Arabidopsis thaliana: one gene and its partners. The protein of the gene in region 3 interacts with the protein of the main gene of each other region in a pairwise test. Each region holds a gene or a part of one and is shown on either strand. Other genes may lie near its edges.

The links.
Region 1: the proteins of MYBR1 (region 3) and FHA2 interact in binary tests that used the Arabidopsis thaliana proteins (3 or more experiments, as listed by UniProt).
Region 2: the proteins of MYBR1 (region 3) and TPR3 interact in a two-hybrid assay, tested with the Arabidopsis thaliana proteins (one study listed by BioGRID).
Region 4: the proteins of MYBR1 (region 3) and TPR1 interact in a two-hybrid assay, tested with the Arabidopsis thaliana proteins (one study listed by BioGRID).

The regions. Positions count from the first base shown.
Region 1 is NC_003074.8:2,295,894-2,300,072, reverse strand, and holds FHA2 (SMAD/FHA domain-containing protein), read right to left. Parts: upstream 2,188-4,179; 5' UTR 2,106-2,187; coding exon 1,511-2,105; intron 1,314-1,510; coding exon 1,156-1,313; intron 876-1,155; coding exon 666-875; 3' UTR 501-665; downstream 1-500. Other genes in the region: AT3G07230 (wound-responsive protein-like protein), read right to left, coding at 83-153. UniProt on the Arabidopsis thaliana protein: May play a role in the control of plant organ development and specifically in the regulation of stamen development. Does not show transactivation activity in yeast.
Region 2 is NC_003076.8:9,509,295-9,517,196, reverse strand, and holds the start of TPR3 (TOPLESS-related 3), read left to right. Parts: upstream 1-1,789; 5' UTR 1,790-1,933; coding exon 1,934-2,013; intron 2,014-2,099; coding exon 2,100-2,279; intron 2,280-2,360; coding exon 2,361-2,474; intron 2,475-2,695; coding exon 2,696-2,854; intron 2,855-2,956; coding exon 2,957-3,131; intron 3,132-3,218; coding exon 3,219-3,348; intron 3,349-3,445; coding exon 3,446-3,558; intron 3,559-3,644; coding exon 3,645-3,780; intron 3,781-3,884; coding exon 3,885-3,994; intron 3,995-4,151; coding exon 4,152-4,373; intron 4,374-4,450; coding exon 4,451-4,546; intron 4,547-4,618; coding exon 4,619-4,711; intron 4,712-4,875; coding exon 4,876-5,003; intron 5,004-5,190; coding exon 5,191-5,425; intron 5,426-5,510; coding exon 5,511-5,672; intron 5,673-5,769; coding exon 5,770-5,844; intron 5,845-6,049; coding exon 6,050-6,184; intron 6,185-6,276; coding exon 6,277-6,387; intron 6,388-6,504; coding exon 6,505-6,684; intron 6,685-6,807; and 7 more. UniProt on the Arabidopsis thaliana protein: Transcriptional corepressor. Negative regulator of jasmonate responses.
Region 3 is NC_003076.8:26,852,209-26,856,506, reverse strand, and holds MYBR1 (myb domain protein r1), read right to left. Parts: upstream 2,486-4,298; 5' UTR 2,399-2,485; coding exon 1,481-2,398; 3' UTR 1,195-1,480; coding exon of another isoform or gene 589-1,194; 3' UTR 501-588; downstream 1-500. Other genes in the region: CYP81G1 (cytochrome P450, family 81, subfamily G, polypeptide 1), read left to right, coding at 1-500, 589-1,194. UniProt on the Arabidopsis thaliana protein: Transcription factor. Represses the expression of protein phosphatases 2C in response to abscisic acid (ABA). Confers resistance to abiotic stresses dependent of ABA. In response to auxin, activates the transcription of the auxin-responsive gene IAA19.
Region 4 is NC_003070.9:30,261,013-30,268,772, reverse strand, and holds the start of TPR1 (TOPLESS-related 1), read left to right. Parts: upstream 1-1,647; 5' UTR 1,648-1,873; intron 1,874-2,232; exon of another isoform or gene 2,233-2,264; 5' UTR 2,265-2,326; coding exon 2,327-2,406; intron 2,407-2,478; coding exon 2,479-2,658; intron 2,659-2,740; coding exon 2,741-3,013; intron 3,014-3,105; coding exon 3,106-3,283; intron 3,284-3,400; coding exon 3,401-3,524; intron 3,525-3,663; coding exon 3,664-3,773; intron 3,774-3,884; coding exon 3,885-4,056; intron 4,057-4,152; coding exon 4,153-4,262; intron 4,263-4,348; coding exon 4,349-4,418; intron 4,419-4,488; coding exon 4,489-4,562; intron 4,563-4,640; coding exon 4,641-4,736; intron 4,737-4,833; coding exon 4,834-4,929; intron 4,930-5,027; coding exon 5,028-5,155; intron 5,156-5,259; coding exon 5,260-5,494; intron 5,495-5,574; coding exon 5,575-5,715; intron 5,716-5,811; coding exon 5,812-5,874; intron 5,875-5,961; coding exon 5,962-6,108; intron 6,109-6,176; coding exon 6,177-6,287; and 11 more. UniProt on the Arabidopsis thaliana protein: Transcriptional corepressor. Activates TIR-NB-LRR R protein-mediated immune responses through repression of negative regulators such as CNGC2/DND1. Negative regulator of jasmonate responses.

The DNA of each region.
Region 1 (4,179 bases), on a different chromosome or scaffold from region 3:
AAGAATGACACATCAATAGATAGATCTGGGAACAACATCGAGATAATCTCATATTTGGATCAGACAAGACAAGATTTTGTACCTTTTGTCGGACGAGCTACCCTTCTGGCTCAGGAAGGATCTGAATAGACCAGAGTTCACATCATAGATCATCTTCACTCAACTATCTCGTAAGCTTCGATTACCGGAAGAAGGGGAAGATCTGGACAAAATCGATGAAACGGAAGCAGTTTTTTTTTTTTATATAGCTTTTTCGATCTCAGAATTTTGCTTTAGTGGCTGCTACAAGATACGAGTATAACCCTAAGTTTGCACATTCCAACCTTTTTATATTGTCTGGATACGTACTTGAGCCACTTTGGATCATTCTCTGTTTCGGCCTTTTCTCTTTTTATGGCCCAAATCCACCGAACATAACGATTTCTGAATTGGCACGAATTTTTTGCCCTTTGATGAAAGAAAAATCTCGATGGGTTTATCAAAAATAAGAATCAAGAAAAAGAAAATCAAAATCTCTCAACTGCAAGGACCAAGAAGTTGGCGTTTTTGGGTGCAGAAAAACGACACAGCGTGTTACTAATCAATGCCAAAATATTTTACATATGAAACAAAGAAAAGAGAGAAAAGCTTCTTAAATCTTAATCCGAGTCACTAAGGTAAAGTTCTCATGAGAGTAGGGTAACGAGGGAAACGAATTCAAGGGTAACTCTTCCCTTTGATCTCGTGTTGATGACGAAATGCTCCGGGTATTTTCTCAGCAGCATCAGCAAACCGTACCATGGTTTACCTTTTGCTTCAGGGATAGCCCAGTCTTCTTGTGATAGGTATCTTCTTACTCGACTGTGATGCCATACGTTTCCATACTCCTTTAATATCTGTCACAGACCAACCACTACCATGCATTAGCCATCATATTGAATCACAAAGAAGTTCATAGTCAGACTACACTAGTCATTCAAAATCTATGGAGTAACTGACATACTTTCTAGACTTAGACACATATAAGTAGCGTAGCGCGTTTCCATTGGAAAACTAATTAAGGACCTAGCTTCACACTAATTATCACCTTGACATTATACAAGTCTTGTTTCAATTGATTACTCGTACTACATTCTGTATTAGAAAAAGGCAAGGAACTTTCTCATAAAAACTAACCACCGAATGAAGTTTTTCCATAGGCATCCACTCTCCCGGACCACACAAATCGGAAAGCACAGTGGCAACAGACGATACAACATCTTTTTCCTCCAGCTGCAAAAATTGTTGATCATCAGCTTCACGATCTACCTTTGATCTTCCCTCTCTCTTCTTCTCTGCACAAATGAAGCAGATACAATGTCGTGGTGTCACTAGCATTCAAATTCAATCCAAGTCTAACAAGGTTCAATCAGCAACCACCACAATCAAAGTCTAAAGAAACAAGCCTGATGTGATCAAGTAAGCATCATAATCTGAAACATATCTAGTTGCACAATGAAAACTCAAACAATCATGAGCAATCTGGTTTTACCTCCGGAAGCATATACTACTTCATGTCCATCTCTCCTTGTTTTCTTTCCACTTCCTCTCATATCGTCCTCCTCATCGTCGTCGTCATCATCATCTTCATCATCGTACTCATACAACTCTCTACTCCTGACGCCCTTCTTACCCGACCCAGAACCTGGACCCGACTGATAATTATGGTATGGAACAACACTTGTTTGCCCAGAGACGTGGTGCCTAGGTCCCAACGGCCCGCCTAAGATGCTCCGAACCGGTAGGAGAAAGTAGAACTCTTTGTCTCCGATCTGCAAAAGGTCTTGTGAATCGAGCTTGACGTTAGGATTCCCAGGGAGATGAAGAACACCTTCAACGAGGCAGCCATTTTTGCCAAGGACCTCGAGAGAGAAGCGTCGTCTAGTGAAGTCATAGAAGATCCGAGCGTGGTTGCGCGAGATGTTCATCCCACCGCCGAGGGATGAGAGATCAACGTCGACGGTGGCTTTCTTAGAATTCCGGCCGAGTATAATGGAGTAAGACTGCATATAGTACTCGAAATCCTCACCTTGAAGCTTCGCAAATCCAACCTCCACATCGCTTCCGCCACCAACAGCCGTAGCCATGCCGTGAAATTCTCCGATTTGATCGAAAGAGGAACCGGGACTTCCAAATTAGGGATTGCAATCGTAATAATTTGTGAATCGAAGCAAGATTTGTTTGGAAACTGGTTTAGCTTATCCAGGACAAAGGCTTATTTTGTGAAATTGACGATTATACCCATGATTTTAAGACCTGAATAAAAACCCTAATGACACAACTATTTAAAACAGCCGAAGAAACATTGAGAATGGCGGCGAGATCTGTGAGCTTAAAGGTTCCATCTCTCCCGCAAATAGTGGAGCATCTTATTGATTGTTTGAATTTTTTGATTTCGTTTGCTTTAGAACATAGGCTTGGTTAGTTTTATGTAACCTTTTGTTTATTTTCGTTGTTGGTTTGATTGAATAAGTTGCCAAATGATGATTGAAAATTTTGCGCAAGGGTTTTGAGTTTCGGATGATTGGAGTTTACTCTGGTCTGAAGGAACCGTGACAAAATTATTTTCTAATAATTCATTCTGATGGCAGCTCAATCATTGTTAGATATATCAAATTTCAATTCGAGTTTTGGGTGCATGGTTTGATTCGGATGGTTAATTGTAGTTTGTTTTGTTAGTAGAAGCTTGGTTTTGGGGCAGCTTAATGAATTTTAGGATTCAAGTTTTCAAATCATTTAGCCTATAATGTTCTGAAATGTGTTGTGTAATGGCTTTGATTTCCTGAGGATCTGACTATAGAATGTTTAAAATCCTGAGGAACGGTGGGAAATCATGTATTTGTGTTTCTTTTTTTTTTTAAGATTCAGGTTCTACAAATTATGCTTAAAGGGCTTTGAGCTCCTGACCGCTTGTATTATGAGATCCAAGAAAATGTGAAAAGTCGTTTTTTTTTCCTTTCCCATTTTGATGGTTTGGGTTGCATTTTACTGTTCTTTTAGTTATCATGACTATGCTAGATTCTGGTCTGGACATAAGTTGCTTAAGATGTGTGGAAATTATGCGTAATGGATTTAGAATTGGCAATTTGTTATTTGAAGGAATTCACTTCTATAGATATCCTTTAATGGCACCCGTTCATGGTCAGCTCCAAATATGCAAGAAATCGGAAAATGCATTAGTGTAGTCCTCTTTTCTGGTATATTGTCAATACTCAAATCTTACATAAACTTTGTTTCAAGGACAATGAAGCATGTGGTCAAGATTTTGAGCCTGCTGGTAGCTGTCTCTGCCTTTTAGTTTGCTCTCTTGCAGGCTGCAATTATGGCTCGTAGCCAAACATAGTTGGTTAGTAATGAGTCTGTTGTGCTCATTTTTGCTTATTGCTATTCTCAGTTAGTCAATATTAATAATGTATATCTTTGCACCAGCTACCTATATACGTTGTAGTGTCCTTTGCTATTAATTGTTGGAATCGGTTTAGTGCAGTTCCCTACCTCTCCTAAAGAAGCAGTTTTTCTGCAGCGGGTACTTTCAGTACTCTTTTCTTTCTTTGTTAACTCGAATTGTTAATTAAGGTTAAATTAAGTTCTTGACTAGTGCTTTTGCTCCTAGCTGTTGTTAATGTTGATTATGTACTAGTTTGTTTTGGTGCTATTGTTATATTGCAGGATATTGCAGATGCAAAAAGACTTCTTAAGCGCTAACGGAATTGATGTTGGATCGGATTTGACACATTATGGTTTACTTCTTTTCAACTCCCTAACCAGTGTAATAGAATACTTGGAGTCTTCGATGGTTCATAGAAAGAGTTCCCATTTTCATTATGTACAGTCGTTTACTATGTTTTTTTGAGAGATGTACATTGAGAAACCGGTGTTTGCAATTGGATTTTGTTTTGGGGTTTTAAACATGATGAAGAACAATGTTATTCTGATAAGTTCACTTTAATTGACTTTTTTTTTTGGAATATCGTTTGTTACATTTTTTCTCGTGTATACAATAAGTTGTGAATCCAACTCTTTCAAGTTTAAACTACTTGAGATTAACTTAAATGCTCCAATAAAATTGATTGAATTGGATTTTCTAGTTTTGTTTGTTTTGAAGTAAAAAGTTGGACTTGAATGCTGATAAGTGATAATAAATTGACTTGCAACCATAAC
Region 2 (7,902 bases), about 17 Mb from region 3:
ACTTTAAATTTGAATATTAAACATCTTCATATTAAAAATAGAGTCATTTGGAAATATTATTAATAAAACTATTTATAAAATTAAATAGTACAGAATTTATAAAATGTAATATCATATAATTTATCCATATATGGCACGCATTCTTACCTAGTTTATCCTTAAATTATCAAGAAAAAAACAAATTTAAAAATATTTTCTACATTTATGTTAATAAGTAAATTTTACTTAAGTTAGGAAACATAGTATCAAATTTCTTATTTTACTTAAGTTAGGTTTTGAAGAATTAACCTCGATTTGTATCTATCGTGTTTTTAAAAAATGAAAATTGACATTTATCCTTAAATTTATAAGATATATTTGTAAATTGTATTGTTCTCATTAGTATACCCTAATCACTTTTCTATCTCTCTATAAATACCTGTAAATCTCATTCTAAAATAAAGTCAATACATTTAGCCTCTATATGGTACCAAAGCTTACAATTCTAAATGGTATAAAGAATATATATGATATATTGTGAAAATGTTGGTGCCACTTACCTCGGTACCAATCCGGTTTTCTATTCTCGAATGAACCATATATATAGCACTTAATTCAAGCTGGAATGCTTCAGATTACTCATGTCTCCATTGGTGATCAGTTAGCAAATACATTCACTAAATCTTTAGCGAAATCAATATTTCAAAAAAAAAGTTCCAAAATTAGAGCTACACGAGTACTTCCATACTAAAAGGACGTATAAAGAATATACATGTAAACCATATTGTTATATCCTAATCATTTTTTTCTATCTCTTAAATACTTGTAAATCTTAATTCTAATAAAGTTAATGTATTCGGCCTCTATAAAATTTTATTTTATATATACTTAATAAGTTATTTTCATACTCCATATGTTTCTTTTATTTGATTTTCTAGAAAAAAAATGTTTCAAAAAGATTAATTTTATAGGTTTTCAATACAATACTTATTAGTTATAATTGATAAATTGTAAACTTCAATAAAAATTATTGAATATTATTGGTTTAAAGTTATTAAAAATTTTAAATTATAAAAAATAGTACATTTAAAAAACAAGATTTAATATGTCTTTTTTTAATATTTATGTTTTTCCTAAAAAATCAAATAAAAAGAAATATTAAAAATATTATTTTCCTTTTTTTATTATTTTTCTTTTCAAATATCTATTTTCTAAATCCATATTATGTTTTTCTTTTATAAATAATCTCATTTCGCCATGGAGAACACGAGTAATTCTCCTGGTGTATGCCTAAAAAAAAAAGCAAAGATTATAATATGAGTATATATAATTATATATGACGTAACCTGCGAGATGTTGAATTGTCCACATTGTAATTGTCACGAACACTTAATTAAATCTTGCGAAAAAGAGATCTCAAAAATATCGCGAGAAAAAGAAAAAAAGGATAATATGAGAAAAGCCAAACGAAGAGTGCATCGAAAGCTGAGAGCGACATAATAAAGGAGAGAGAAAAATGTGGGGACCAGACTGGACGTGTGCACAGAATATTCACACTATTTGAATTTTGTTTTCGAATCCGCCACTCTATCTCCAAATCAACTTATCACTCAATTTGATAATAACTTAACCTACCTCTCTTATAAGGAAGCCTACTTATCACCGACGAAGACTCCGCTTATATCTGATAAGTCGGTAGAACGATGTCTCTGTGCAAAGAAGAACGCGTCCAAGAAAGCGAGGTCTAAAGTTTCTCAATCCCCCAATCTTCTCCTCCTTCTTTATATATTCTCTCTCTCTCTCTCCATTTTTCTCTAAAAGCTAGAGCTCTTCAAAACCCTAGAAATCCTCGAAATCAGAGTCTTTACCTGGGCTCGTGTCTTCAGAGCTCGGATTCGTGTTTCTTTCGTCGTCTCTCTTCTTCGTTTCTCGTCAGATTTGAGATTCGTTGAGAATGTCGTCGTTGAGTCGAGAGTTGGTGTTTCTGATACTTCAATTTCTGGAGGAAGAGAAATTTAAGGAATCTGTGCACAGGTTAGTCTATTTATATGGTTTGTTTTGTGTTGTGTTGTGAGAGGCTGAATTTTGGGATTGACTGATTTGTAATTTGTTAAATATAGGCTTGAGAAAGAGTCAGGATTCTTCTTCAATACCAAGTATTTTGATGAGAAAGTTCTAGCTGGAGAATGGGATGATGTTGAGACGTATTTGTCAGGTTTTACTAAGGTTGATGATAACAGATACTCTATGAAGATTTTCTTTGAAATTAGGAAGCAGAAGTATCTCGAGGCTCTTGATCGGTATGATTATAAGCTGTCTTATTTGTTTTTTTACTCTTGAAGATTTGTGGTTTTAGAGTTTGATGTTCTCTGTTGTTACAGGCAAGAGAAGGCAAAAGCAGTTGAGATACTAGTGCAAGATTTGAGAGTTTTCTCCACTTTCAATGAGGAGCTTTACAAAGAAATCACTCAACTCTTAACTTTGCAAAACTTTAGGTATGATATATTGAATTTTGATCTCTCCTTGTTGATGTTTCTGTTGTTATGGAAAGTAGGAATATGAGACTTGGTTTAGGTTCAGTCCAAGTCGAGTTCGTGATGCTTTGTAGACTGTTTTTGTTTGGATGTGAAAGAGGGTGTGATACTCGAGTTTCTCTCTCGATTGTTTGCGTTTTGTGGATTGAAATTTGACATCAATGATTTTCATGAATCTGCAGGGAAAATGAGCAGCTTTCAAAATATGGAGACACTAAAACTGCTCGGGGCATAATGCTAGGCGAACTTAAAAAACTAATTGAAGCGAATCCACTTTTTCGTGATAAATTGATGTTCCCTACTTTGAGATCTTCGAGACTGCGGACTCTGATTAATCAAAGGTGTGTTTCTTTTTTCTTTCCTCATGACCATTCTGTATGTTGCAGATGAGGTTTGGATGACTTCGTTGTTGGATGATTCATTGTGCATATGTTCTCTTGCAGCCTCAATTGGCAGCACCAGTTGTGCAAGAATCCTAGGCCAAACCCAGATATTAAAACTCTATTCACAGACCACACTTGCACACTTCCGAATGGTCCTCTCGCACCTTCAGCAGTCAATCAGCCTGTTACTACTTTGACGAAGCCAGCAGCTTATCCGTCACTTGGACCTCATGTTGTAAGAAACCTCGATGTTTGACTGCTTTAATCATGTTTTTTGAATCTAAATTAATCTTAATGTTTGTGGAATCTGTATTACATGTAGCCCTTTCCACCTGGTCCTGCTGCTGCTAATGCTGGTGCTTTAGCTAGTTGGATGGCTGCTGCCTCTGGTGCTTCTGCTGTCCAAGCTGCCGTTGTTACACCTGCCTTGATGCCTCAACCTCAGAATCAAAGTTAGTTTTTGACGATCCTCTAGATTTCTAATCCTCGACTTATCAATAACTATCATTTCAGTTTCCATCAAAAACTTATTATTTTTCTTCCAAAAAGTGTCAATCTTGAAGCGACCAAGAACACCACCAGCAACTCCAGGTATAGTAGATTATCAGAATCCTGATCATGAACTAATGAAGCGTCTCCGCCCTGCTCCATCTGTGGAGGAGGTAACGCGAATTCTTTTCTTTTTCTGGAAAGCTGTTTATATAATTCTTGCATCTTCTCAAAATTCTAAGCATTTATCATTTTCCAGGTGACATATCCTGCTCCTAGGCAGCAAGCTCCATGGTCGCTGGAAGATTTGCCAACAAAGGCAGCTCTGGCGCTGCATCAAGGGTCCACTGTGACAAGCATGGAGTTCTACCCTATGCAAAACACGTTACTTCTTGGTATGGGGGTTTGAAAAAAAGAATACAAATTCTAAACTGTGTTTGAAGTTATATTTCTGTTATCTCTTATTTGGCTTTCTGAATGACCGTTTGAATGCCATCAGTTGGATCTGCGACGGGAGAAATCACATTGTGGGAACTTGCCGCTCGAGAGAGGCTGGTTTCAAGGCCATTCAAGATATGGGATATGTCTAATTGCTCACATCAGTTTCAGGTTTGTCTTTACAGCTAAGAAGTTTTTAGTTTATGTGTTTGATGTATAAAGGCGGAATTCAACCAAATGGCTATGAGAAGTGTTGGAGATAAAACGTATCAGCAAACTAGTTGCTGTGCAAGATTCTTATACTTGCCTTTCTTTTGGCATCATTCAGGCTTTGATAGCTAAAGAAACACCGATATCTGTCACTCGCGTTGCATGGAGTCCGGATGGAAATTTCATTGGTAAGCTTCCCGTCATGCATTGTTGGATTTTAATTGTATGTTGTCTATGGTCTCTGGTCTCAGTCTCTTATTGTGCAGGGGTTGCGTTTACAAAACATCTAATTCAGTTGTACGCTTTCTCTGGACCTAATGATCTTCGCCAACATACTGAGGTAAGCATACTTGTGATCTGTACGAGAAATATTGCGATGTAATAATATCCCACTGAGACTAGATCACTTTTTCACAGATTGATGCCCATGTCGGTGCTGTGAACGACTTGGCTTTCGCCAATCCAAACAGACAACTATGTGTAATTACTTGCGGAGATGATAAATTAATCAAGGTGAGATAAAGAGTCACAAAGTTTCACTGTTAGATATCAATGCAGCTGGCTAACTTGATCAATGTGGAACAGGTATGGGATGTTTCTGGTCGGAAGCATTTTACTTTTGAAGGCCACGACGCTCCAGTTTATTCCATTTGCCCTCATTACAAAGAGAACATTCAGGTGCGGCAAGGATTGAATCAAACTATATTTTACATCAATTATTATACTGTTTTACCAATCCGTTTGAAGAACAATAAAGTAGACGACACATTTCATATAGTATTATCTTGCCTATGAATTTCTGTTCTTTACCAAAATACATCTCGTTCTTATTTGGATTTCAGTTCATATTTTCAACCGCCATAGATGGGAAAATAAAAGCCTGGCTTTATGATAATCTGGGTTCCAGAGTTGACTATGATGCTCCCGGTAAATGGTGTACGAGGATGCTTTACAGTGCTGATGGTACTAGGTAAGATCTTAAACTCATAAACATTTCCCTCTTCTATACCGCTTGTTCTTCACTCCTCAGTTTCCAAAATCTTCAGATTCTTTTGTTTACTCCGGAGGATACTGAGTTGTGTCCTTGAGTTTCTAATCTTATCTTTCTGTTTTAAGTTTACCTTTTCAGTGCTTTCTGATGTTTTTTCCCCCTTCAGATTGTTCTCTTGTGGAACGAGTAAAGATGGAGATTCTTTCCTAGTTGAGTGGAATGAAAGTGAAGGATCAATTAAAAGGACGTATAAAGAGTTTCAGAAAAAGTTGGCAGGTGTGGTTCAGTTCGATACCTCAAAAAACCATTTTCTGGCTGTTGGTGAAGATGGACAAATCAAATTTTGGGATATGAACAACATCAATGTTCTGACTAGCACTGATGCTGAGGGTGGACTTCCGGTAAGTCCCAAAGATTCTTTTTCCCATGGCTTGTTGCTTGGATGTTCGTCTTTTTAGGTTTGCATATAACTTGTCCCAACTTCAGGCTCTTCCCCATTTGAGATTTAACAAGGACGGCAATCTTCTAGCCGTTACTACGGCAGATAACGGATTTAAGATCCTAGCTAATCCAGCTGGTTTCCGATCTCTTCGAGCGATGGAAACTCCAGCTTCTGAAACGATGAGGACTCCAGTTGATTTCAAAGCTGTAATGTTTCTCAACTTTGTATTACATTTTTTCCCTTTTTTACATCCACTGTCATTACAAGCTGTCTCGGTTTACACACTTTGGTATATTCTGTTAGGTTCCTGGTGCTCCTGTTGCGTCTGTCAATTGTAAAGTTGAACGAGGCTCTCCTGTTAGACACTCACAAATGCTGGTAAAATCACTCATTAAATGCTATGTTTCTAGCCATTTCTATAATTTATTATTCTGTTCTGGATTTTCGGTTGTAAATGAAGTGAACTTCCATTTGTCGAAATTGTAGTTTACTATTCTCTGACTATAGTAGTTGACTGTTTCCGATTTTTTTGTCATGTTTAAAAAAAATATTTACTAATCTTTTTTTTCTGAATATCCTCAAGAATGGAGTTGATCCCTCAAAGTCGAGAATCGATGACTCAACAGACAAACCAAAATCTTGGCAATTAGCTGAAATCTTGGACCCTTCCCAGTGTTTCCAAGCTACTTTACCCGATACCGCTGGTTCTTCCACAAAGGTTTGTGCAGTTATCTTTCTCAGAAAGTTGTTGGATTTCTATAAATGTTTTGAAATTGAGGCTTAATTTTCTCATGCTGCGTGGGAAAGCAGGTTGTTCAGCTTCTGTATACGAATTCCGGTGCTGGAATCTTGGCACTAGGTTCCAATGGTATCCAGAGACTCTGGAAGTGGGTTCCCAATGAGCAGAACCCTAGTGGAAAGGTAATCGTAAAAAAGAGTTTGAGAGAGCTTAATGCATGCTGTCTGCGGTTTTAAAGAGTTAGAGATAGCTTAATGCATGCTGTGTGCGGTTTTATTTAAGTACTGTTTATTATGCAGGCAACTGCTACTGTTGTTCCTCAGCATTGGCAACCAAACAGTGGTCTTCTTATGACCAATGATGTGTCTGGTGTAAACCTTGAAAACGCTGCCCCATGCATCGCTCTCTCTAAGAACGACTCATATGTCATGTCTGCTGCTGGAGGAAAAGTCTCGTTGTTCAACATGATGACTTTTAAGGTATATATTATCTATATGAACTTAAAAAAAGCCACAAGATTTCTAACTGAAAATGTTCTCACACTAATCTAGTAAACTCTTTTGGTTGTTCTAATTTCCACAAAAAAACTATTGGCCTTATAGGTGATGACAACATTCATGCCGCCTCCACCAGCATCAACGTTTTTGGCGTTCCATCCTCAGGACAATAACGTCATCGCCATTGGAATGGAAGACTCTACGATTCACATCTATAATGTCCGAGTGGATGAGGTAAGTAGTTTCTAGTACTAACCATTGCCACTTATGTAGTCTTTTTGATCTATGACAAGGAAAAACTTGTGAACCTTACGTTTTTTGAAGAAATGGTTCTCATAGCTTCACATATGTTTTACAGTTTAATTTTCCCCTCACTGCTAATGTTGCCTTAAAACTCTATCAACGATCTGAAACTTGCATATTGTGTTCCATCAGGTCAAATCAAAGCTAAAGGGTCACCAGAAACGCATCACAGGCCTAGCATTTTCTACAGCCCTCAACATCTTGGTTTCATCTGGTGCTGATGCACAGGTGTGTTATGCTGCGTCTTGTTGTTGTTGTTGTTGTCCTGTAGTAAATATATCTCAACTGAAGGGAAAAATGCTTGATTATTTTGTGTTGTTTCCTTGCTGGATTTTCTACCATTAGACTTATCTAATCTAGGAGGATACTTATTCTTCCTGTTGTCTTCTCTTAGATCTGCTTTTGGAGCATTGACACATGGGAGAAGAGGAAATCCGTTGCAATACAAATGCCAGCAGGAAAAGCCGCCAATGGAGACACGCGGGTTCAGTTTCATGTGGATCAGTTGCGTATTCTGGTAGTCCACGAGACACAACTGGCGGTATTTGATGCTTCCAAGATGGAATGTATCCGACAGGTATCTATGACTATGATGAGATCATCTCTGTAAATCCACTTATATAAAATGGATCATCTCTGACCTGGCATGTATATATGAAATGCAAGGTCATATATACATATTCTTAATCATTATTTTGAAATTTGTAATGACTTATGTTCTCTTGTTTTCATGTCTCAGTGGATTCCACAAGACTCGCTGTCTGCTCCTATATCTTCAGCGGTGTACGCATGCAACAGCCAGCTGATCTACACCACTTTCCGCGATGGTAACATTGGAGTATTTGACGCGGACAGTCTCAGATTAAGATGTCGTATCTCTCCATCCGCCTACTTGCC
Region 3 (4,298 bases):
GCCGTTTCTGCGCCGTAGATATCTTGTCCACCGCTCGTCTCAGAGACTTTTCGGATATACGGAGAGACGAAGTGAGAGCTATGATTCGGAAGATCAACGTGGAACTGGTAACATCAGGAGGCAGTGTCAGATTGAAACTCCAGCCGTTTCTTTATGGGCTTACGTATAACATCCTAATGAGCATGGTCGCTGGAAAACGAGAGGAAGACGAGGAAACTAAGGAAGTTCGGAAGCTGATTAGGGAGGTGTTCGATTTCGCTGGTGTTAATTATGTCGGAGATTTTCTCCCGACTCTGAAGCTCTTTGATCTTGATGGATACAGAAAGAGAGCAAAGAAACTCGCTTCGAAATTGGACAAGTTTATGCAGAAATTAGTCGACGAGCATCGGAAAAACAGAGGAAAAGCAGAGCTTGAGAAAACGATGATCACTCGTTTGCTGTCTCTTCAAGAATCAGAACCTGAATGTTACACTGATGATATCATCAAAGGGCTCGTACAGGTACATGAGTTTTTAATTCCTATAATTTTGAATCGTTAATAGGAGTGATCAAGATTGATTCATCAAAGATTCAAAGGATTCATTGCAGGTGATGTTGCTTGCTGGAACGGACACAACCGCAGTGACGTTGGAGTGGGCTATGGCTAACCTTCTAAATCATCCGGAAGTTTTAAGGAAACTCAAAACGGAACTAAACGAGGTTTCGAAAGAAGGGCGTGTGTTTGAGGAATCAGATACTGGCAAGTGTCCCTATCTCAACAATGTGATCTCTGAGACTCTTCGTTTGTTTCCGGCGGCGCCCTTACTTGTCCCACACGCTTCATCCACTGACTGTGAAGTCGCTGGATTTGACATTCCACGTCGCACCTGGCTATTTATCAATGCGTGGGCTATTCAGAGAGACCCAAATGTATGGGATGACCCAGAAACTTTCAAACCAGAGAGGTTTGAATCAGAGACCCATCGTGGTAAGTTTCTGCCTTTCGGAATCGGTAGGAGAGCATGTCCTGGTATGGGCCTGGCCCAACTAGTACTGAGCTTAGCTTTAGGCTCATTGATCCAGTGTTTCGATTGGGAGAGAGACAATGACGTTGCCGTTGACATGTCGGAAGGAAAGGGTCTTACCATGCCCAAATCTGTGCCTTTAGTTGCCAAATGCAAGTCTTTACCAATCCTCGACAAACTTGTTCTTTAACTGGATCATTTATCTTTCACTTTGTGATACTTTGTGTATTAATTTGATCTATTATCATCATTAAGCGTAGTTATAAATAAAAATTTATTTTATTTTCCTGAATAGCTTAAGAGAAATTTGATCTTCGTCTTCGTCACTACGTCCCCAGCTCTCGAGCTTTGTTCACTCGATTTCCTCTATACATTTCCTTAAAACCCAAAATTCTTAAGCCTAATCCAAAGGAGAAAAAAACAGAGCATTTTTCTTCTTCTCCAATTTAAACAGTTTCCTAATAATCTCACTTTGTCTACTCGATTCTCCCAACTCCAATTTGACTCATCGGAATCATGCCATTATCAATGAATCCTCCGACGAATCCGCCACCATTGTTCCGTTGCATCTCCGTCATGTAACTCCTCACTTCCGCCTTAATCATCTCTTGCACCACCGCCATAAACTCGCCTCCGTTACCGGGAAAAGACTTCCCCATTTCCTCAATCGCACCTCTAAACCCACCACTAAACGGCATAAACGACACCGTATTGTTGTGGTTGTGGCGGCTCGAAGTGGTGTTGTTGATATTCGTTGACTCGTGGCTACGGTTTGACTCCTCGCTTACGTCGGCACCAGGAAGTGACAAGCTTAACGAAGTCGGTGGATCATCGGAAGAAGACGACGTTTCGATAGGAAGCGGTAGCACAACAGCACCAGGTCTAGGCACAGGCTTGAAAAGCTCAACGGAAGGTAATATCGGGATAGTACTTGAATCACTGACATCAGATCCAGTTGGGCTTCCTGGGCTCATGTAAAGCCCAGTAACAACAGGTGGAGATCCCGCACTCACCGATCTCTTAACCGGCCGATGATCCTCCGAACCATCGTAACCCCGATGGTCGTAACCGCCGCATTTCCTCTTGAGCGTCGAGTTCCAGTGATTCTTCACGGCGTTGTCCGTACGACCGTTGAGAAGACGAGCAATCGTCGCCCATTTATTACCGAACTGAGCGTGAGCACGTGCGATCGTCTCGTCTTCCTCAGCCGAAAACGGCCGATGCTCAACTTGCGGCGAAAGCTGGTTGCACCACCGTAAACGACACGATTTCCCCGATCTACCGGGAATAGATTTGCTAATCACTGTCCAGTTTCTTGGACCGTATTTAACAACAAGCCTACGAAGCTGCTCGTCTTCTTCAGGACTCCATGGACCTTTGATCCTATCAGCCATTGATTTTGGAATGTTTTATCAAACTTTAGCAATCTTCTCCTCTTTAGTGATTTTGGTTTTGAGAGATGAACCAAAAACAAGTTCGAGAAACTAAAGAGAGGACAAAATTATTTATACAGAGATTTAAGAGAGGAGGATAACCGGAAACCGGTTAAGACGGTGGAGAAGTCATGGGCAACGCTTCTTCCACGCAAGCGGTTTTTCAAAGTTTGCGGTACAGCTGTAAGTGGACACGCGTCGAAGCCTGACTACGTCGATGTGTCTTTTTTGTCGTTTTCGTAATAATTTTGTTCAAGATCAGCAATTTCGTATAGTTGAGCGTGGAGATCAGTCGAGTCTCAAAGTATGAGTTTGTGAGTACACGCGCCATTTAAGCGCGTGGCGAAAGTAAGAAGTTAAAGAGACAAAATCACGAAACCCAACTAGCAAAGCCATGATAATATTCGCACAATTTGAGGTGAATTTAAATTTTTTTATAGGGGAAATAAAAATGAAAAAGAAATATCTGAAGAAAAAAATAAAAAGATGATAACGGTTAGGTTTGGGTAAGGACAGTTTTTATTTATTTTTATGTTTAGTCTTGACTTTAGAATAGCGAAGCCAGGCTGTATAGCACTTCACATAAAAACTTTATGATAATATCTACTTTACATATAACCGATTTTCCGGGTTGAAAACTAATCAAAATTATTGACCACAAATTTCATTACTAATAAAGAAAACAAATTGTCACTAAGAAGGTATAATTAATTACTAAACAACACACAAACACCTAATTCATGCATATAACAGTGCATGACAAATTGACAATACTAAATCTATATATAGTTGCTCTATGATCATAAAAAGATCTAAACCTCAATAATTTGAAACGAAGCTGGATTAAAATGGGATTGACAAAGAACCGTGTGAGCGATATTAAGTGAATGTATAAAAATGGTTAGATATTAATGTTCGGTTTAGGAAACGTGATGTAAAATGTGCGGTTAACAAAAGATAGGAGGTTTTGACGTGGCAGAAAACGACAACATAGGTTGCCGAATTGGAACGCAAAATCATCACTGCCTTTGTTTCCTGAAATATATTTAATTATTATATCGAAAATACGAATAGAAACAGCCAGGCTGTATAAAACTTGTTAATCAAACAAAAACAATTAATAAAACACTAACTGTCATCCATTTAAGAACTGCCACGTGTCGGTCGTAAAACGCGGGTTTTTAAAAGCTCTTTGTTCTGGTATGTACGGTACGAATCAGGTCGGTAAACGTCAGGTAATGTTCATGCACGCTCCCTAACCTTCCCTCTAACGGTTCATAATTCTCCTTTTAATTAAACTATAGTATTGTTAGTTCTTAATAATTCAAGTTTTTACGTAACCCCACCAAACATTTGAATTTATACCTTTTGAGTTATATATCTACATTTTTGTCGATTTGTTGATAATCTATTAGACATCAGGAGTTTAATACTTTGAGTGAATTTGATAATTAATAATGCCAAGAGGTTATTGTGATGGGAACAATAAGCTCTAGATGTAACCTTGCGTAGTTATTATATTGGGTTTACGTGTTCGTTTGTGAGACTCAACTATACTACTATAACCTTGCTCGTTGTTTCTATTATCAATGGTCCGAGTGTCGGTTTTGGTCTCCTTGTTTTAAATATTTTATTGAAGTCGTTTTACAATTACCAACTTTTCCTTAAACCAAAAAATAGATCAATAATGGTTTTGATTGATGATATTGATGGTTGATTGACGGTGTCTTACTCACTCGAAGATTAGACAATTACCAAAACGATTTTATTCGTAGTCCACCAAAAAAACAAATCAACTGTGATCATTTTTCATATCTATTATAAATGACTACTATAGTATGACATTTTGAAAACATTTGTA
Region 4 (7,760 bases), on a different chromosome or scaffold from region 3:
TGTCTGATATTGACATCTTAATTTATAACTTCCCTTTTCATTGTTAATGTTCCTTACTGTCTTCTGATTGATAATAAAGACGTTGACATGTCAAACCACATAATTATTTGAAAAATATATATTATTTCTTCAGATTTTCATCATTTGTTATAAGTCTCGATAAGACAGTTTTTGTTTTTTTAACAATTTTTTACAAAAAACTTACGACCATAATTTAGTTCAGGCGAAAATCAGTGAATCATTAATCATATTTATTAGTTTGGATTTTTATGTGTTTTTCTTTTTATGTATTTGAGGATTTTTCAGTTTGTGAAAACAAATCTAATATGCTTATTTGATTTCTTCTTTATTTGCTGTATTCTTAATATATCTTGCAGAGCTAAGGTAATACTCAAATTTTTTTTTTCCACACGTAAAAACTCATATTTATCAGTTTGGAATTACTGTATTCTTTTTAGTAGTCCTCTCACTCGCCATGGCAAGAAGAAGGTTTTTTTTTCCTTTTTCTTGCATTCCATGTTAATCAGTATTTGAATAAAAAAGCAAGCTAAATCGGCAAATGAACTTATATCCAAATAATCAAGATATCAATCTGTGTAAGCATTACTAGAAAAGTAGAGATACTCGTGTTACCGTGTAAATTAAAAGAATAAAAATGTGCTTTTCAAAAGTTATATACTTTTCTTGTGCACCCATAACTTTAGCAAAAGCAACCATCATCATTCTTGAGCAATTAAAACAAATAATATTGATCTTCATTTGGTGCCAAAATACTTTACGGTAATGACGTCAAACTCGATGTTTCTTGTCAAAGTCTGAAAGACCAATATAAAATAACACTAGACACATTATAAAATTAACATATTGGTTCATTGTAATTAAACCGTCGAATATATATAACGAAAATACCAATTACGCTGTGAATAAACAAACAAAATCATTTTATTAGTCATCGAGTAAATAAATTCGATTATAATCCTCAATAGTCAATATATATATAGCTCACATCACATTATGCGATTAACAAAAACAATCCAAAACAGTTAAATGATTAGAAATTAAACGAGTCTCACTAAATTATTAACGACTCCAAATCACGAGAAGGCTTAAGAGTTATCATGTCGGGAGAATTTAACTGATAACCTCTTCCATTATCTCTCAATCACGTGATTTTTGTTCAACGAGTACCGCATCTCAAGAATAAAAATGGCAATTTAGGTAAATATTTGTCATTTTCAAGGGCAATGGAACTTAAAGATGCATTTCAGAAGGAAAAGCTTTGTCGTGTTATGAGGGAAATGTGGGGACGCAGCTACTTCGCTTTCAAACCGTTGGATGAATATCCTTTAAGGTTCATCGTACAAGATCGACGGCACTCACCGAGGGTGTACTCATGTTGTGACACAGAGGATCATGTCTACTTGGAGTACAGCTAGCAGCTAGAGATTCTGAGCCGATAACGTCGAGAATTGTAGCCGGCTAAGTCGTATATGCTGGTTTAAACTTTAATCTGTACTTATATATAAGTCAACGTGCTTATCAAAATCAGCTCCCTTATCGTGTGATAGGTGCATTGTCTTATTAGACTCCGTTATCCGTCACCTTCGCATATTAAAATCACTTTTTATTTTTTGGTTTTAAATTAAAGTCTCCATTTCTGCAAGATTTTAATGTTCGTATAAATAAGCCTGAAGAGAGAGAGAGAGAGAGAGAGAAAACTTGTTTTTTTTTTTTCCATTAGTTTTTTTCTTACTTTCTGGTCGAGAGAGGAGAGTCCAAAAAACCCAAATCCTTGGCCTCTTTCAATATCAGGAGAGAGAAACTGAAGCTCTGGCCTTTGTTTCTGAAATCGATCGTCTTCTTCTTCTTCATGGCAAGTAACGTATCTAGGTCTTTCATTTTTGGTTTAATATCTAAATCGTAGCTTTTCTGGGTTTTTGATTTTTGTTTTTGTCTCATGGAAGTGAAAAAGATGGCCATTTTAAGCTTTATATTTAATTCGGTGGACAATAATAATACTAGGAAGACCTAATTTTTGTGTAGCCCAATTAAACACTAATTAAATCCGCCGGAATAGAGACTTTTGGAGAATTTTCCGGAGGATAGTTGTAAAGATCTAGTTATATACTGTGTAATTAAGAGGCTGTGTCTATTTTCATTTTTTAAAAATAATAATTAAATGGAGGAATATCTGAAACCCAGTAAATTGGGATGATTTGATGGTTTTGTAAGGTTATCATCGTCGCCATTATATTGATATGCAGATCTGGTGGGTTTTTCTGCATCTGACTTGATAGCTTTATCGGACTGAGTGGCAAAATCAATCATGTCTTCTCTGAGCAGAGAGCTCGTCTTCTTGATCTTACAGTTTTTAGATGAAGAGAAGTTTAAAGAGACTGTTCATAAGTATGTCCGATCTCTCTTTTCCTTTTTGTCTTTTATTAGGCATTATTATTAACTTGATTGATTATTAATTAGGCTTGAACAAGAATCTGGGTTTTTCTTCAATATGAAGTATTTTGAGGATGAGGTGCACAATGGTAACTGGGATGAGGTTGAGAAGTATCTCTCTGGTTTTACTAAAGTTGATGATAATCGATACTCCATGAAGATTTTCTTCGAGATTAGGAAGCAGAAGTATCTCGAGGCCTTGGATAGGTAACTTGTGTCTCTCAACAACAACAAGAATCAAATGTTTTCATATTGCCAATCAATCACACCTGCTGCTGCTTCTATCTAGGCATGATCGTCCCAAGGCTGTCGATATTTTAGTCAAAGATTTGAAAGTGTTTTCCACTTTTAATGAGGAGCTTTTCAAGGAAATCACTCAGCTCTTGACCTTAGAAAACTTCAGGGAGAACGAGCAGTTATCCAAGTATGGGGACACAAAGTCCGCCAGAGCTATCATGTTGGTGGAACTCAAGAAGTTGATTGAAGCTAATCCTTTATTCCGTGATAAATTGCAGTTTCCTACCCTTAGAACTTCACGCCTCAGGACTCTGATTAATCAGAGGTATTCTTTGTCCTTTCTTGTTCACTTCAACAAATTTTCTTCTTGTCAGCTACTTTAACTCCTTGTTTCTATGTGGCTACATAAACCTGCAGCTTAAATTGGCAACACCAGCTTTGTAAGAACCCAAGGCCTAATCCTGATATTAAGACTCTCTTTGTCGATCATTCCTGCCGCCTACCAAATGATGCACGAGCACCATCCCCTGTCAACAATCCGCTTCTTGGATCATTACCAAAAGCCGAGGGATTTCCTCCTCTAGGCGCACACGGGGTAGGTCAATTTCCACCTGATTTTTCGTATTTTCTATAAGTGCCATTTCTACTGCTTTTGGTTCTAGCTCTATAGTTACCTTTACATGCCGTGCTTGACTTACCTTTATGTCTTTAGCCTTTTCAACCAACACCTTCTCCGGTTCCGACACCTCTTGCTGGTTGGATGTCTAGTCCTTCCTCTGTCCCACATCCAGCTGTGTCTGGAGGACCCATTGCTCTTGGTGCTCCATCCATCCAAGGTTATTTGCTTATCAAATGTGGTGTTTCTTTATAAAAGCTGTGTGGAACTATAGTCTTAAATTTTATCCTCGCCTTTTTTTCAGAACCTTTAAGTTTCACCTGTGATCTATGTAACATGTTCTCCTTTTTGGTTCTTAGCAGCCTTGAAACACCCGAGAACTCCTCCTTCTAATTCCGCTGTAGACTATCCATCAGGTGACTCAGACCATGTCTCAAAGCGAACCAGACCTATGGGAATCTCTGACGAGGTGAGAAAAATCTTAATTAATATTATATATTTTCTTATCAATACCAATTTTACATAATTGGTAGTACTAGTTTAGACTTTAAACGTATTTCTTCTTTCTCCCCATATGTAGGTGAGTCTAGGTGTGAACATGTTACCAATGACATTCCCGGGGCAGGCTCATGGTCATAATCAAACCTTCAAAGCACCTGATGACTTGCCCAAGACAGTTGCACGAACTTTGAGCCAAGGCTCATCTCCCATGAGCATGGATTTCCATCCTATTAAACAGACTCTGCTACTAGGTCTGTTTCTTGGTCTGTATGCATATTTCATGTAACATACATCATCAGAAATTTTGTAAAACCAGAAGTTTCTTGCTTCAATTTTCTTTGTTCCAGTTGGTACGAATGTAGGGGATATTGGGCTCTGGGAAGTCGGTTCTCGAGAACGTCTAGTCCAGAAGACTTTCAAAGTTTGGGACTTGAGTAAATGTTCGATGCCCTTGCAGGTGTCTTCTTTTGTGAAAATCAACCAGAATATTAATATCTAATATCTATTTGAAACTTCAGTGACCAACAATTCTGGTCTTTATAGGCTGCTTTGGTGAAAGAACCTGTCGTTTCTGTCAACCGTGTGATTTGGAGCCCGGACGGTTCCCTATTCGGTAAGACTTGAGATTACAAATGCTCTTTCAACCGATTTGAGTATTCATATGCGCACGTTTTCAACTGCAGGAGTTGCTTATTCGAGACATATTGTACAGCTATACTCTTATCACGGTGGTGAAGACATGAGGCAACACCTTGAGGTGTGATATAGTTTACAACAACATTTTAGGAGTATTTCTTTCATTTCCTGTAATGAAAATCATTTTTTATTATTTCAGATTGATGCTCATGTTGGCGGTGTCAATGACATTGCATTTTCCACTCCGAACAAGCAACTATGTGTTACTACTTGTGGTGATGACAAAACCATCAAGGTTCAGTATTTTTTTTCTTCTTTCATTTCCTTAACTCTTGTTTTTTTTTTTTTTTGTTGGAACTCTAAAAACAGACTAATCAATTCTGTGAATTAAGGTCTGGGATGCTGCAACGGGTGTAAAACGGTATACTTTTGAAGGCCATGAAGCTCCTGTTTACTCTATCTGCCCTCACTACAAGGAAAACATTCAGGTAAAGTAGCAATATTTATACGGTTTCATTTTTGCTAAGTACAAGTTGAAATTCGTTTCTATTTGGTTTTGACTTGTTTATTTCTTCTTCTGCTTAAGTTTATCTTTTCAACTGCTCTTGACGGAAAAATAAAAGCATGGTTATATGATAATATGGGTTCTCGGGTTGACTACGAAGCTCCTGGTCGCTGGTGTACAACGATGGCCTACAGTGCTGATGGAACTAGGTTATAACATGATTCTCATCATCTTTATGTTGTGGTTCTGTTCTGTATCGTCATGAAGTGATAATAAATTTAAAATCTATTTTTTATTATATTCACATGGATAGGCTATTTTCTTGTGGGACGAGTAAAGATGGGGAATCGTTCATAGTTGAGTGGAATGAAAGCGAAGGAGCTGTGAAGAGAACTTATCAAGGATTCCACAAGCGTTCCCTTGGTGTTGTCCAGTTTGATACTACTAAAAACCGTTATCTCGCTGCGGGTGACGACTTCTCCATTAAGTTCTGGGATATGGACACCATACAGCTTTTGACTGCCATTGATGCTGATGGAGGTCTCCAGGTATGCAAACAAATACCTCGATTCTCCCTGGGAACCGAATGTTTTCATTTGCAGCCATCATGGCTCTCTATGTTTTGTAGGCAAGTCCACGGATCAGATTTAACAAGGAAGGCTCTCTCTTGGCTGTTTCCGCAAATGACAATATGATTAAGGTTATGGCAAACTCAGATGGTCTAAGGCTATTGCACACAGTCGAGAACTTATCTTCTGAATCCTCCAAGGTACTGAATTTTGTGCTCACTGGATCTTCAACAAGCAAATTACTAACCCCCAATTTGAAATTTCTTCAACACTTTATTTTTCATGTACATTTGCAGCCTGCAATCAACAGCATTCCGATGGTAGAGAGACCTGCCTCTGTCGTTTCCATCCCTGGAATGGTACGAAAATCGATACTTTTTCCGTCAGTTTCTCTATCTCTTGGTCTGGGTCCAATCATCGTTGTTGATCACTTACCTTTCCAACAGAATGGAGATTCGCGGAATATGGTGGATGTGAAGCCAGTGATTACCGAAGAATCAAATGATAAGTCTAAGGTATGGAAGCTTACTGAAGTCGGCGAACCCTCTCAGTGCCGTTCATTGAGACTCCCTGAGAATATGAGAGTCACCAAGGTACTAACACATAGACTGACATAACTGTACTTATATGGCTTGATTCTAATGACTCAAAACTTGAGCAGATATCGAGATTGATTTTCACAAATTCGGGAAATGCAATTTTGGCATTGGCATCAAATGCTATTCATCTGCTATGGAAGTGGCAGCGAAATGACCGTAATGCAACTGGGAAGGTACTTATGGTCTAAAATCTTCCTTTAAGATCGCCAAAAGAGTTGAAATCATGATGAAATTCAATTTGAGATTTTGTGTAGGCAACGGCTTCTTTACCTCCTCAGCAGTGGCAACCAGCGAGCGGGATCTTAATGACAAACGATGTGGCTGAAACTAATCCAGAAGAAGCCGTACCCTGTTTTGCTTTATCGAAAAATGATTCCTACGTGATGTCAGCATCGGGAGGAAAGATCTCTTTGTTTAATATGATGACGTTTAAGGTAAAATCCCAGCTACAGACAGCACTATGTCTAATGTATGCAAACAATGCTTCATCTGTTACATTTAATTGTGTTGTTGGCTAAGCGCAGACAATGGCTACTTTCATGCCGCCTCCTCCTGCCGCAACGTTTCTTGCTTTTCACCCTCAAGATAACAATATCATTGCGATCGGGATGGATGACAGTACAATACAGATTTACAATGTTCGTGTTGATGAGGTTAAGAGCAAGCTTAAAGGACATTCTAAGAGAATAACCGGCCTCGCTTTCTCCAATGTATTAAACGTTCTGGTTTCGTCTGGAGCAGACGCTCAGGTGCTGATTCATCTCATGTTTTGTAATAAAGAATCCAAATCCTTAGAAGTCTTAGTGTGAATCTTTTGGTTTTTGTATGCAGCTTTGCGTATGGAACACGGATGGATGGGAGAAGCAGAAAAGCAAGGTTCTGCAAATTCCACAGGGAAGATCCACGTCTTCTTTGTCAGACACGCGTGTTCAGTTTCATCAAGATCAAGTACACTTCCTTGTGGTCCATGAAACTCAGCTCGCTATATACGAAACAACCAAGCTTGAATGCATGAAACAGGTTTTAGTCTTTATATATGTTCATTCTCTCTCCTTGCATCTGAGTAACCCTTATAGAAGAAAGAAATGTCTTTATTTTGATTCCAGTGGCCTGTGCGTGAATCAGCAGCTCCAATAACACATGCCACATTCTCATGTGATAGCCAATTGATATACACAAGTTTCATGGACGCTACAATATGCGTCTTCAGCTCTGCAAACCTTCGATTGCGTTGCAGAGTCAATCCCTCTGCATATTTGCCAGCTTCTCTCAGGTGAGTTAATGAAATGAATATAAACTAGTGCAATGTTGGATCATGAATCTTGAGTCTTCATGTTGATGTTTTGTGCAGCAACTCGAATGTCCATCCACTGGTGATAGCGGCTCATCCGCAAGAATCCAACATGTTTGCAGTGGGTCTGTCAGACGGAGGGGTCCATATATTCGAGCCGCTTGAGTCAGAAGGTAAATGGGGAGTAGCTCCACCGCCTGAAAATGGCTCAGCCAGCGCTGTCACGGCTACACCTTCCGTTGGAGCTTCTGCCTCTGACCAGCCTCAGAGATGATCTGCTTCAGTTTCTTACTCTGTTTTTTTTGTGGGGGTTTTAGATCTTTTCCGATTTATTATTGTTTTGTTTGTGTGGGGG